Linked DNA regions of Oryctolagus cuniculus. The protein of the gene in region 1 interacts with the protein of each later gene in a biochemical or structural test. Links are inferred from orthologs where the notes say so. Each region holds a gene or a part of one and is shown in the gene's direction. Other genes may lie near its edges. The genes, in order: KEAP1, AMER1 and MCM3.

Region 1 (4,275 bases):
AAAGGTCTTCCTTTGCCGTTGGTTCACCCTCCAATGGCTGCTGCGGCCGGCGCTGTGCTGATCTGAAGCCAGGAGCCAGGTGCTTCTCCTGGTCTCCCATGGGGTACAGGGCCCAAGCACTTGGGCCATCCTCCACTGCACTCCCGGGCCACAGCAGAGAGCTGGCCTGGAAGAGGAGCAACCGGGACAGAATCCGGCGCCCCGACCGGGACTAGAACCCCGTGTGCCGGCGCCGCAAGGCGGAGGATTAGCCTAGTGAGCCGCGGCACCAGCCGTCAAATAAATAAATAAATCTTAAGAAGAAGAGGAGGAGGACGAGGAAGAGGAGGGGGAGCCACGTGCAGCAGTGTGGACACGGGCATCTTAATGTGGGTCACTCTCCAGACGCAACATCCACGCTGGGCCAGGCTGAAGCCAGGAGTCAGGAACTCCATCCTTGTCTCTCCCGTGGGTGGCAGGGGCTCCAGTCCTTGGGCCACGCCTGCAGCCTTCCCACACTGGTCGCAGGAAGGTGGGTTGGAAGCGCAGGCACTCTGATATGGGTTGCCGATGTGCCAGATGGCGCTTACTTCCACGTGCCCCAACACCAGCCCCTGCCACTTCGTACCAAGCCCACGGAGCATCACGCAGGTTGCTACAATTCTTTGCCACAACAGACCTCATATTGCAGTAAGACTGTGCACATAACACTTTTTTGCACGCTTGTGAATGTCTCTTGGGTACATCTCTACAGGCAGCACGGCTGGCCCACGGGGCCTGCAGGTTTGGTTTGGAGAGATGTCAGAGGCTGTGGGTTACAGTCACGGCTGGAGCGCCCCCCTCGGGAGCTTCCCGGAACTGCAGCTTCACACAGCCCAGTGTGGGGAGCGCTCCACCCCAGCCCGGTTCAACCCCAGACCCAGAGCCCGAACATCAAAAGCCCCCAGATTTCACGTCGGAGACTCCAGCAACCCTGTTCTTAGACAAACATCTCCTCGGCCTGTCCACTTTTCAAACTTGAAATGCGTCTGTTGAAAAGTTAACTTCATGTCATCAAGAGCAACCGTGCCGAGAAAAATTAGCAATAGCGCTTTTGTCCTCGCCATCACGGAACGTGGAAGAAACTAAGGTTCTGTGGGCGCAGAGTTAGCAGCAGGCGGGTCGGGGGTTCGAATCCCCGCAGGTGGGTTCCATGCATAACTGAAAAATAAAGACAACAGGAACCCAGCTAGGCAGGTGGCTCCAGCGGGCATGCACTGTGTGGATAAGAAGAACAGGTGTCGCGCACAGCAGCCCCAGGGACGAAACCTGCCCAGATGGAAGGGACGGTGCGAGAGGGGTGCGAGACCTGCCCGCCCCGCCGGCCTTGCACCCTTGCGGGACGCCGGGTCCCTCGCGAAGGCACCTGCGGGGAAAGAGGCGGGGAATCGCAGCTCCTTCCCCGCCGCGCCCTCCGCGCCTTCTCCCCGCCTCCTTCCCGGGAGTCCGGAGGCCACCCCCCACCCGACGTCTGCGACCCCGCTGGCCACGCCGCCCCGGAGCCGAGGCCCCCCCATAGGCGGCGGGGGCGCCCTCGGGTCCCCAGTAGCAAAGTTAGGGCCGAAGCCACCCCGCGCAGAGCCGCGGCTCCCCACCCACCACCCCGCCTCGGGCTTCCCGGAAGCGTGGCGCGCGGGTGGCACCATCGTGCCCCGTGCCTCCCCACCCCGTGGGACGGAGGTGAGTGAACCCCGGCAGGGGTGGCGGCGAATCCCGGGGCGCGGAACGGGGCCTCGAACTCGGGGCTCCGACGCCCCACGCGGCCGAACGGAGCCGCGATCCCCCGCCCCGCCGTGGCTGGCGCTGTGGTCGCTGCTGCGCCGGGGCTGCGCAACCCGGCGACCGCGGGCGGGGGTTGGGGGCGCGGCCTGGGGCCTGTCCACGCCGCCCGGGGCCAGGAGCCGCGGCGCACCGAGCGTGGGGTGGGGGGGTGGCGGACTTTTATTCTGACATGGCCGGCGCCGCGCTCTGCTTAGTCATGGTGACCTACGCGCGCTCCGCGCCTCCCCCCGGCGCGCAGCGATGGAGGCGCCCGGGCTCCGGCGGCGGAGGCGGAGCCGCAGCGCGACCATGGCGGGGTGAGTGAGGCGGCCTGTGCCCAGGCTGCGGGCGCCGCGGGCCTCGGGCGCCCCGGCGACCATGGCCGGGGGCCGCGGGAATGGGAGCGCGGGGCCCTGGGGCCGCCTCCGAGTTCCCGGAGGCCCCGGGAGGGCGCGGCCGGGGTCCGATCGTTTTGTTGGACGGCGCCACTGCCGGGGCGGCCGGAGAGGCACGGAAGCCGGGAGTGAGACGCAGGGGGGGAGCGCACGCAGACGAAAGCCCGGGGATCCCGGGGCGTTGGCGACGGCTGGGTGCGCGCTGCGGCCTTGGCTGCCAAGAGGCCGCGGCGGGGTCACTTCCTCGCTTCTCCAAGGCCTTGGTGGCGGCTCAGGCGGGGCATGCGCAGTCCCCCACTTGTCGCTTCGCGGCGGGGGGGAAGTGCTTGGTGCCCAGGGGCACCGTTGACCGATTGGCCAAAGATCCAGAGGCCAGCCCGGGGCCTCGCATGGGGAGAGGGGGCCGAGCGGCGCGCCGGGCAGGGTGGAGGAGGGCGGCTCTGGCAGGCACCGTGGCGTGGGCAGCCGGCCAGCCACTGGCTCCTGCGCAGTGCCAGGCCGCGGGCGGGACGCGGGGACACACAGGAGAGGGTGGCCCCAGCGCTGGCCTGCAGGGGGCTCCCTGCCCCCTTGAAGCTCCGCGGTGGAGTTTGGGGGGGGGGCGAGAACGAGGCGACGTTGGGCTGAGCCCCAGAGCTTGGGAGCGCCTTGCAGGTGCCGCGGATTTCAAAACGTGACTCAAGCCCTGGCCCTCAGCCTCTGTGAGTCTCTCAGCTCCTGACCGGACCTTGCTGCTCCCTGCGCCCCAGCGCCAACCTCACCTTCCCAGAGGGGTGTGGGCCAGGACACCACAGTGCCTGGGACACAGCAGGCGCTCAATAGATGTTGCAGGGCTGAGCGAAAGAATGAACTTGACATGACTGGGGAAGGGAGGAGGTAGCTGGATGGCTGGATGGAGTGAGCTGGAGAGAAGTGGGTGGACAAGAGCTGACTATCCTGCCAGCTGTTGAGGGGTCCTGTGTGGTTTTGGGGGTGGGGGCAGGATCTGGGTGGACCCCTGGGTGGGCACGGCCAGGAGAAGGTGGGGAGCTCCACCGGACCCCACCTCACCAGGTTTGCTTTGGGAATGGCTCTGTCTTACGAAAGAGGGCCTGGCAGGTGCTGGCCTGACCCCTGCCCTGCCCCCAGCCCTGTGCTCTCCCTCCTCCAGGCCCCTGAGTGTCCGTGGCGGCGTGATCCCTTGTCACTTGGAACCTCATGCAGCCGGAAGCCGAGCCTAGCGGGGCGGAGGCCTGCAGCCGATTCCTGCCCCAGCAGTCACAGCGCCCCGAGGGGGCGGGGGACGCCATGATGTTCGCCTCCACCGAGTGCAAGGCCGAGGTGACGCCCTCCCAGCATGGCAACCGCACCTTCAGCTACACGCTGGAGGACCACACCAAGCAGGCCTTCGGGATCATGAATGAGCTGCGGCTCAGCCAGCAGCTGTGTGACGTCACGCTGCAGGTCAAGTACGAGGACACGCCGGCCGCCCAGTTCATGGCCCACAAGGTGGTGCTGGCCTCGTCCAGCCCGGTCTTCAAGGCCATGTTCACCAACGGGCTGCGGGAGCAGGGCATGGAGGTGGTGTCCATCGAGGGCATCCACCCCCAGGTCATGGAGCGGCTCATTGAGTTCGCCTACACGGCGTCCATCTCCATGGGCGAGAAGTGCGTGCTGCACGTCATGAACGGTGCCGTCATGTACCAGATCGACAGCGTCGTCCGCGCCTGCAGCGACTTCCTGGTGCAGCAGCTGGACCCCAGCAACGCCATCGGCATCGCCAACTTCGCCGAGCAGATCGGCTGCGCCGAGCTGCACCAGCGCGCCCGCGAGTACATCTACATGCACTTCGGGGAGGTGAGCCGGGAGGCGGGAGGGCTTGGCACGGAGGGGCGCGCCCCAGGGCGTGATCCCCGTGAGACGCCAAGGGGGAGCCGGGGAGGATCGAGGGCCCTGGCCACACATCTGACCACCAGGACAGTGACCCTGGTTTCCCTGGGGTCAAAGGTAGGGGCAGAAGGCAGTGACCGTGACCACGGCCAAGCGCTGGTCAGCAGTTCCTTCCAGGACAGCGAAGACAGGCTGCTGGCTGCCCTGACCCTGGTCCTTGTTCTCTTTAGTG
Region 2 (4,030 bases), on another chromosome or scaffold:
TCAAGGCAGACAGGACCCCGTGGAGCAGCACAGAACACTCCTGCAATACAAAACTGGCATGCATTGTTCTCTAATCCTTCCCCCTCTCCTCAGCCTTAACCCACCCTCCTGCCTTTTGAGACTTTCACAGTTTTAGGGCAGGGCCTTCTGGATATTCTTGAGCTAGTGGTAGAACTGGATTCTTTGTTGCCTCAGCTCACCTGGCCCTGGCAGCCACTAATGCCACTTAATGTCCTCAGGCTAGAGACCCAAGCTGGGCTGGCCCCCTGCCACATCTCAGAGAGGAGGGCAAGGCTGCTACAGGCCTACTCCCTGTGTCTTCAGCACAACCTCCTGTCTGGGCCCCGACAAGATTTTTCTCTCAACATCTAGACTTTCCAGGGACAGGGACCTGTAGACAGTCAGGCTCACAGTTAAAGGGGAGCGAGAAGGGTCTCTGGAGACCTTGTGGATCTCCAGAAGGCTCTGTGCAAGACGGGGAAACATCTCCCCATAGAAGAAAAGTTAAAGCAGCCCTGAGTGGGAAGTTTGGGGCTCTGTAATCCAAATCTGCCCCTGTCTAGGACAGGCTGGGGAACCTTGGGGAAATTCCTTCCTTTCTCAGGACAGTAGCCGGCTTGTCCGTAACGGGTGGAAGTCGACCTCAGTCTCCCTAAGGGCCCTGGGGTGCAACAGAGACCAATGAAGCTGGGGCACGGGAGCTGCAGCTGGCTTGCCTAGCAGGTGAGTGCCTCCTCTGGGTGGTCTGGGAGTGCGAGCCACAGGGCCTTGTCTCTACGCCTAAGGATAGGCAAGCCAAGGTGCCAAGGGGCTGTGAAGTCTTCTAGACCCCACCCACCCAAACTCTCTACCAGCTAGAGCTCTGGGATGAACGGCGGGGTGGCAGCCAGGGCACAGAAAAATGAATGCAGGCGGCCACGAAAATGGGAGCGCGTACAAAACCGAAACCGAACTCCAGGGATCCAGCGAACTCCATCCGGGAGGGACCGGCCCATCCAGCCAGCGGTGTAGCCACGCCGCAACCCGCCTGGCGTGGGGGCGGGAGCGGGGAGCCCCAGAAAGGGTTTCCGCACCCTCTCCGCCTCCTGCCAACACCACGCCCGCGCTTATTTGCATTTAAAGAGAAACGCACCAAGGAAAACAGTGGGCAGTCCGGGCACGCCTTTCCACCATAGCGATTGGGTCATACGCCCGCCAATCAAAGCAATGACGCCCCACCCTGTGGCCGTGGAGTCCGGTGGGGAGGGGGTATGGGGGAGCTGCCCAAAGCCTGGGGAAGGGGAGTCAGTGCAGGAGGTGACTGGAGCCGCGGCGGCGGCGCCAGGAGCAGCGGTGGCGGCGCTCTCGGCCGCGGCAGCCGAGGATCCAGCCGCGGCCAGGGCGGCGCAGCAGACAATAACCGGGCTGGGAGCCGGACCGGGCCGGGTAAGCATTGCGCGCAGCCAGGAGCCTCCGCCTGCGGGCGGTCGGGTGCATTCCCGCGTGCTTCGCTCGGGTCGCCTGGAGGAGGGCACTAAGGACTGGGCTGGTTGGAACGGGGCCGCTGGCCTCTCTCCTTTGGAGCCCGCTTTACAGACTGTCCGTGAGGGGCCCAGCGGCCGCGAGTCCCTTGGGCGCGGGCGACCAAGGCTGGGGGTGGGGAAGGTATGGAGGGTGGGGAGGGCGAGCTAGCATGGGCCATGCCTCCAGGCTTTTGGGGGAGGCGGGGATGGGCCCGCACGTGCTGCCGCGCAGTCCCGGGAGGGGCGCCGCCAGCCAGTACCCCAGGCCGCGCATCTGTAGGCCGGGAGCTCCGCAGCTTTGTTGTAGCACATTTGCTGGAACAGCTGTGGTACGCGGGTACTGCTCACCCCAGCGGCCCTGCTGCGGCCCCTCCCCTCTGCTGCGCATCTCCTGCCTCTCCCTCCTCTCTGCGGACGAAGCCGGCGCGCTGGTTCGGGCCCCACTGGGACTGGCTTTGGCGTGGATTAGCCTATCCACACTGTCTGCCCCCTCTCTAGGGGAGCTCCCTCGGGCCTGAGGGAAGCTCCCTTAGGCCTGTGGGCTGCCCGCTTCCCTTCAGAGCCTCGGCCTGGCGGCCCCAACCAGCCGCGCCCCCTCCTCCTGGGCCTCCGGGCGCATCTGGCGCCCGCCTCCGCGGGCAGGCGGGCCGGCAGCGGGCTCTTGCTGGTCCTTGGGTCAGAGCTGCAGCGCAAGCTAGTCCTTGGGTTAGAGCTGCAAGGCCGCTTTGTCTCCCCCCGGCCCCGGCCTCTCCTCTTTTTCCCTTGGAGGGGCACTGGCGCGCTTTTCTCTAAGGCCTCCTTTTTAAAAATATCCATAGGCGCAGTGTTGTGCGGGAATTTCCGTGCCAGAGGCCGAGGAGCCAGTCATTGTAGTAGGGGACGCACCGTCGCTGTGTATGTGAAAGGGCTGGTGCTAGGGAGTCGAGCCTGACAACTTTGCAGTTACTTAAAATATCCAACCCGCCTGGCCACTGTCATTGTCTGCTAAAGACACCTCTGACACTGGTGACCGCCCAGACGCCGGACTTTGCCTGGGCTGCTGCTCAGGCAGTGAGGGGGCTGTGCCCGCCTGGCGAGCCGCAGCCCAGACGCCCAGGCGGCAGCTCGACTGGCCCCGCAGAGCTGAGCTAGCCTTCGTTTGGTCAGATTCGCCGCGGCGTGGGCCGCAGGGTCAAGGCGAGCCTTGTCCCGCACACAAACACCTCCCTCTGCGGCTCTGCCCGCCTGCCGCAGCGGCGTGGGCATGGGCAGGGTGGAGGGCACTGCGCTGTTGGACTCCCTCCTGCCCCGCCCGTGGGGATTCCAGCTCAGCCCCCCACCCCCAGCCCCGTGCAGCTCCCCTCATTCGGCCCCACCCACTGCACAGGCACTGCACCATGGTGCACCTCTGGCAATGGGCTCTGTAGGCCTTTCTGAGGAACAGGAACCTGGCAGGCTCTGCTTGGACCTTTGATCAACCTCTGAGGGTGGAGAACCCGTGGACTGCAGGGCCCAGGCGAACCCTGGCCACCTTTGCAGAGGGGCAATAAGACCCAGTAAATCCCTGACTTGGGGGAAGGCTAGCTGGGGACCTTTTTGACACCAGCCAGGACTGCAGAGACCACCGTGACCAGGCCTCCACTTGTAGCTGGATCTCTCCAGTTCAGGGTAGAACGTGCCCCCTGCCTTGTTCAGGCCTACAGTCCCCTAATGTATCTCACTGCTCTATGTAATTCCCTTCCCCACATCCAAACCTACTGAGCTCCACCTGTCCAGATCCTCTTCCCTGGCAGGCCCCAGTTCTAGGCCTACCTTCTCTTTGGTGCCTTTTCTGCCTCCCTGTTTGCCACCCATGGTGACTTCTCCCTCACTGCCCCCCCCCCAACTCCTCCAGGGCTACCTGCGTCTCCTGGGCATTTTCTGGCTTAAATTATAATAGAAGGCAGACTGTAATTAAGTTTCCCTACCTTTGCTTTGTCTCCCTGGTATTGTGGATGTCTGGGTTCTCCCAGAACCCTTCAGAGGAACAAATGAAACCTGCACCTCAGCCACAACTCTCTCAAAACTTAGCAGTGCAGGGCACTTACTGAATGCTCCCAAGGACTTGCTCTCTTTGTAGAGCAGCTGAGAAGACCTTCACCTTTCCAACTTGTGCTTGTCTTGATTGGCAAGTGACTCGAGAAAGGATACACGTGGCTCAGATATTTACTGAGTGTGCCTTATGAGCATGGAGAAGGGGTCTAGGTTCCAACTGCAAGAATAAAAATTGTGATGGATCCCCCAAGAGGAAGCTCTGCATTTGGATGGCTCAGACCCCAGATTTTGCATACCTTTGGTTGCTAACTCAGGGGCACGCTGCTGTGGAGAGCGAGGAAAGACCTGCGTATGCCAGGAGATCTTCCTGGGAAGCTGTCAGAAAGTACAAGGACTTTGTAGGCAGAGGGCTAGCAAAAATTCGGAGTGGGGAAGAGTAGCTGGCAGACAGGGTGAGTGAGCTGACTGACTGTTGCGGTTGAGATGGTCTGGCCCAGAAGGAGAGAAGAGGTTGG
Region 3 (3,530 bases), on another chromosome or scaffold:
AACACCGCTGCCCTTAAATTTAAATCTTTTGAGGTTAGTGGTGTTCATGCAGATTATCACAGCAGGAAGACTCTCAAGTTCAAAACCCTGCTTATGTGACACTGACATGAACTCTGGGAACTTAGATATGACCCCAGATCTTGTACTCTAGCCCCATGCTATCTCCTGGGAGCCCAGCTTGGACTTCTTTACACGCCTTGGTGAAAGCACTTTCAGAACATCACTGCACTGAAATCTTAGAGTATCCCATTTATTCAGTTTAAACCTGTTTCCCCACATCTACCCTTTCTTTGATCTTAGTTTTGTTTTCTGAAGATTGTATGTCACTTGTCTTCTTAGCTCTCTTTCAGCTGTTCCTCTCTACATGTGAACCTATTGCTGTGTGTCAGAGATCCTCTCAGTGAACCTAGAATTCAACAAAATATGGCATTTTAATCATCTTGCTGGGGTTGGTAGATCCCTCAATTTGTATTCTCTAGAATGGACCTTGTACTGGAGGGTATAATCTCCAAATTCTTGTAACTTTCTAAGGGATTAAAAGATTTGGTGACTAGATCTCTTTAAATGTGAAGGAGTGGATATAAATGGAAACTTAGAAAACATGCAAGTAAATGTGACCAGAGCAGATCAGTAAAGGATCATATGAGGGGCAGTGGGAAGGTGCCAAAGAACTAGCCCTCTGTCTGTTCTTCTCTGGACTTGAGCTACTGAAAGATTTGTTCTCAGATTACCTCTTCTATGCCCTTCCCTTGTAATCTTGAGCAGCCCTTTGAGTCCCGTTTCCTTCACCTGTAGAACTTTTACAGATTATTCAGAAGGTTAAATGACAGAATGAATAGAACAGCAGACTTCTGGCTACATTGTATGCCTGCATTAAATGATTATTTTTCACATTTGTACTCTTTCTGGCCTTTTATCTTTCCAGCTGTTAAGATGTCTAAATTTCTTCTTTCCTATTTTCTCTCCCTCAACACTTGACATTTTGATATCTGAGTGTTATTTTGTATCTATAGAGAATGTAGAGCTCTGAATTTTTTGGGTTTCCTGGAGCTTTCTGATATTTTCTAAAATATTTATTTGAGGGACAAACAGAGCTACCATCCACTGGTTCAGTCCCAGATGCCCACAATGGCAAGGATAGTTGGAGGAGTCCCAGAAACTGACTCCAGGTTTCCCACATGGGGAAGCAGGAACCCAACTACATACATCATTACTGCTGCCTCCTATGGTCTGCGTTAGTGGGAAGCTGGAATCAGGCAGTAGAGCTGGGAATCAAATCTAGTCAAGCACTCAGAGATAGGCCTCTTTGTGTGTGTGTGTGTGTGTGTGTGTGTGTGTGTGTAAGATTTTATTTATTTATTTATTTGAGGCCGAGTTACACACAGAAGGAGGGAGAGACAGAAAGGTCTTCCGTCTGCTGATTCAATTCCCAAAAGACCGCAGTAGCTAAAGCTGGGCCTCCCATGTAGGTGCAGGGGCCCAAGAACTTAGGCCATCCTCCACTGCCTTCCTAGGCCATAAGCAGAGAGAGGATTGGAAGAGGAACAGCAGGGACACAAACCGGGATGCCGGAGCTGCAGGCAGAGGCCCATCCTGTTATGCCACCGGCCTGCCCTGACATGGGCCTCTTAACTGCTAAGCCAAACACCCACTCCTGGTGGTATCTCTGTTTCACTTTTTGTACAGTAGGAATGATGGCTAACCAAAGCTGGATAAATGATCCTATCTTGCTTTCTACTGTAGACATCGCCAGTTACAGCCCGAACACTGGAAACCCTGATTCGATTGGCCACTGCCCATGCAAAGGCCCGCATGAGCAAGACTGTGGACCTTCAGGATGCAGAGGAAGCTGTGGAGTTGGTCCAGTATGCTTACTTCAAAAAGGTGAGGATTCCGATGTTTGGGCATGGGAAGACTTGTGAGTAAATCACAGGCGCGTGGACTCAACAACCCTGCACGGCTGACACCTGCGCTGGCTCTTGAGCTGAAAGCAGCATTTGTCTGCCTTACTCCTCCCTGTGGAACAGTGGTGCACAAGCCTGGCTGCTCCTGAGACTCAGATGGAAGGCTTTAAAGTAACAGTGCCAGGGCTTCTGGAGATTATGGTTTAACGGAGCTGCTATGTGTTCAGGCCACTGCTTCTGCCTGCTTCCTTTGTCTTAAGGAAGTAGGTATTTCCTAAGGTTATCAGGGTAAACCTCTGATACCTCTCGACCCCTCTGTACCTTGCTTCTTGGCAGTCTCTTCAGATGTCCCATTGGCACCTCGGGTCAAGAATGAAACTCTCAAACTTGCCTCTCATCCTGGTTCCCTATTTCTGTGTTGAAATTGTATCCTTGTGGTTCTAGATATCAAGCCTTTAAGCCTTGCCTCTTTGCACCTCCCTGCCCCTTCCCTTCCTGTATCTAGTGATGTAGCCCTGAAGGATTTAGTTATGGTTTGATATGCTTTTCTTGGATTTTTCTCTTAGCCAGGTTTGGGGATGTCTTAAATTTCAATTTAATACCTGATTTGTAAAGAAATGAATTGTTTCCTACTTAACCATTATGGGCTGGACAGTCCCCCACCCCCTTTTATTTCTTGATTGAGCATCTACTATGTGAAAGATATCCCAGCATTTTAAAAATAAGTAATGACCTCTCCCTCTGTCTCTGGTCCTGGGACTTGGGGACAAGAGAGGCTGTGTAAGTCATTAGAAACCTGGGAATCCTTTCTGCTGATGCTCAGAAGGGACTCTTCAGAGTTCTTCAGCTTCATAGCGTCAGTGACCCCTTCAGCCCACCCATGCTTGCCTTGGTCATAGGTTCTGGAGAAGGAGAAGAAGCGTAAGAAGCGGAGTGAGGATGAGTCGGAGTCAGAAGAAGAAGGGGAGAAAAGCCAGGAGGAACAAGAACAGAAAAGGAAGAGGTGAGGTGGTACAGAACAACATTGAGTGGGGCTGGGGCTGGGGCTGGGGTGTGGAGGGTGGTTCAGCCCTGCTTACATAGAGAAAGAATACTTGACCTGCAGGGCTTGAAGATCAGGATAACCAGCCTGGGAAAGGAGAGGGAGTGAGTCCCTCTGTTGTGTGTTTTGTGAGGTATTTTTGATCCCCTTCCTGCTAAGGACCTGCTAAATAGCAGGAACAGTCACCCACTCACCGAGGATTTTGAATATATACTTAATAATCTTGAGGTCATTGTTTCCTCCTATGCCTGTGGTTGAATTTATATGAGTGGGTGATATGGAAAAAGAGCATTGTGCAGCAGGGCCTGCTTGTGCTCCAGGCTGCAGATTTGTTCTTTGGTAAATGTAGCAGTCGTACAGGCCTGAGCCTGCTGCTTCATCTCAGTGATAGGTGGCTATACTTCCTTTTCTCCGTGCTTATTGGCACAGGATGGGGCTCCAAAGCCTTTGTCTTTCTCACCTGCTCTGGTTATTTTAGGAGGAAGACTCGCCAGGTGGATGCCAAGGATGGTGAATCATACGACCCCTATGACTTCAGTGACACAGAGGAGGAAATGCCTCAAGGTGACTGAGCACCCTGTCCT

The links.
Region 2: the proteins of KEAP1 (region 1) and AMER1 form a complex in vitro, tested with the Homo sapiens proteins (2 studies listed by BioGRID). The link is inferred for Oryctolagus cuniculus from reciprocal best matches to the Homo sapiens genes KEAP1 and AMER1.
Region 3: the proteins of KEAP1 (region 1) and MCM3 form a complex in vitro, tested with the Homo sapiens proteins (2 studies listed by BioGRID, with this or other methods). The link is inferred for Oryctolagus cuniculus from reciprocal best matches to the Homo sapiens genes KEAP1 and MCM3.

What each region holds. Positions count from the first base shown.
Region 1 is NC_091447.1:66,950,689-66,954,963, forward strand, and holds the start of KEAP1 (kelch-like ECH-associated protein 1), read left to right. Parts: upstream 1-1,457; 5' UTR 1,458-1,698; intron 1,699-1,876; exon of another isoform or gene 1,877-2,096; intron 2,097-2,349; exon of another isoform or gene 2,350-2,875; intron 2,876-3,302; exon of another isoform or gene 3,303-3,324; 5' UTR 3,325-3,371; coding exon 3,372-4,010; intron 4,011-4,275. UniProt on the Homo sapiens protein: Substrate-specific adapter of a BCR (BTB-CUL3-RBX1) E3 ubiquitin ligase complex that regulates the response to oxidative stress by targeting NFE2L2/NRF2 for ubiquitination.
Region 2 is NC_091453.1:44,206,505-44,210,534, reverse strand, and holds the start of AMER1 (APC membrane recruitment protein 1), read left to right. Parts: upstream 1-1,208; 5' UTR 1,209-1,425; intron 1,426-4,030. UniProt on the Homo sapiens protein: Regulator of the canonical Wnt signaling pathway.
Region 3 is NC_091436.1:117,750,956-117,754,485, forward strand, and holds part of MCM3 (DNA replication licensing factor MCM3), read left to right. Parts: intron 1-1,743; coding exon 1,744-1,884; intron 1,885-2,803; coding exon 2,804-2,907; intron 2,908-3,424; coding exon 3,425-3,510; intron 3,511-3,530. UniProt on the Homo sapiens protein: Acts as a component of the MCM2-7 complex (MCM complex) which is the replicative helicase essential for 'once per cell cycle' DNA replication initiation and elongation in eukaryotic cells.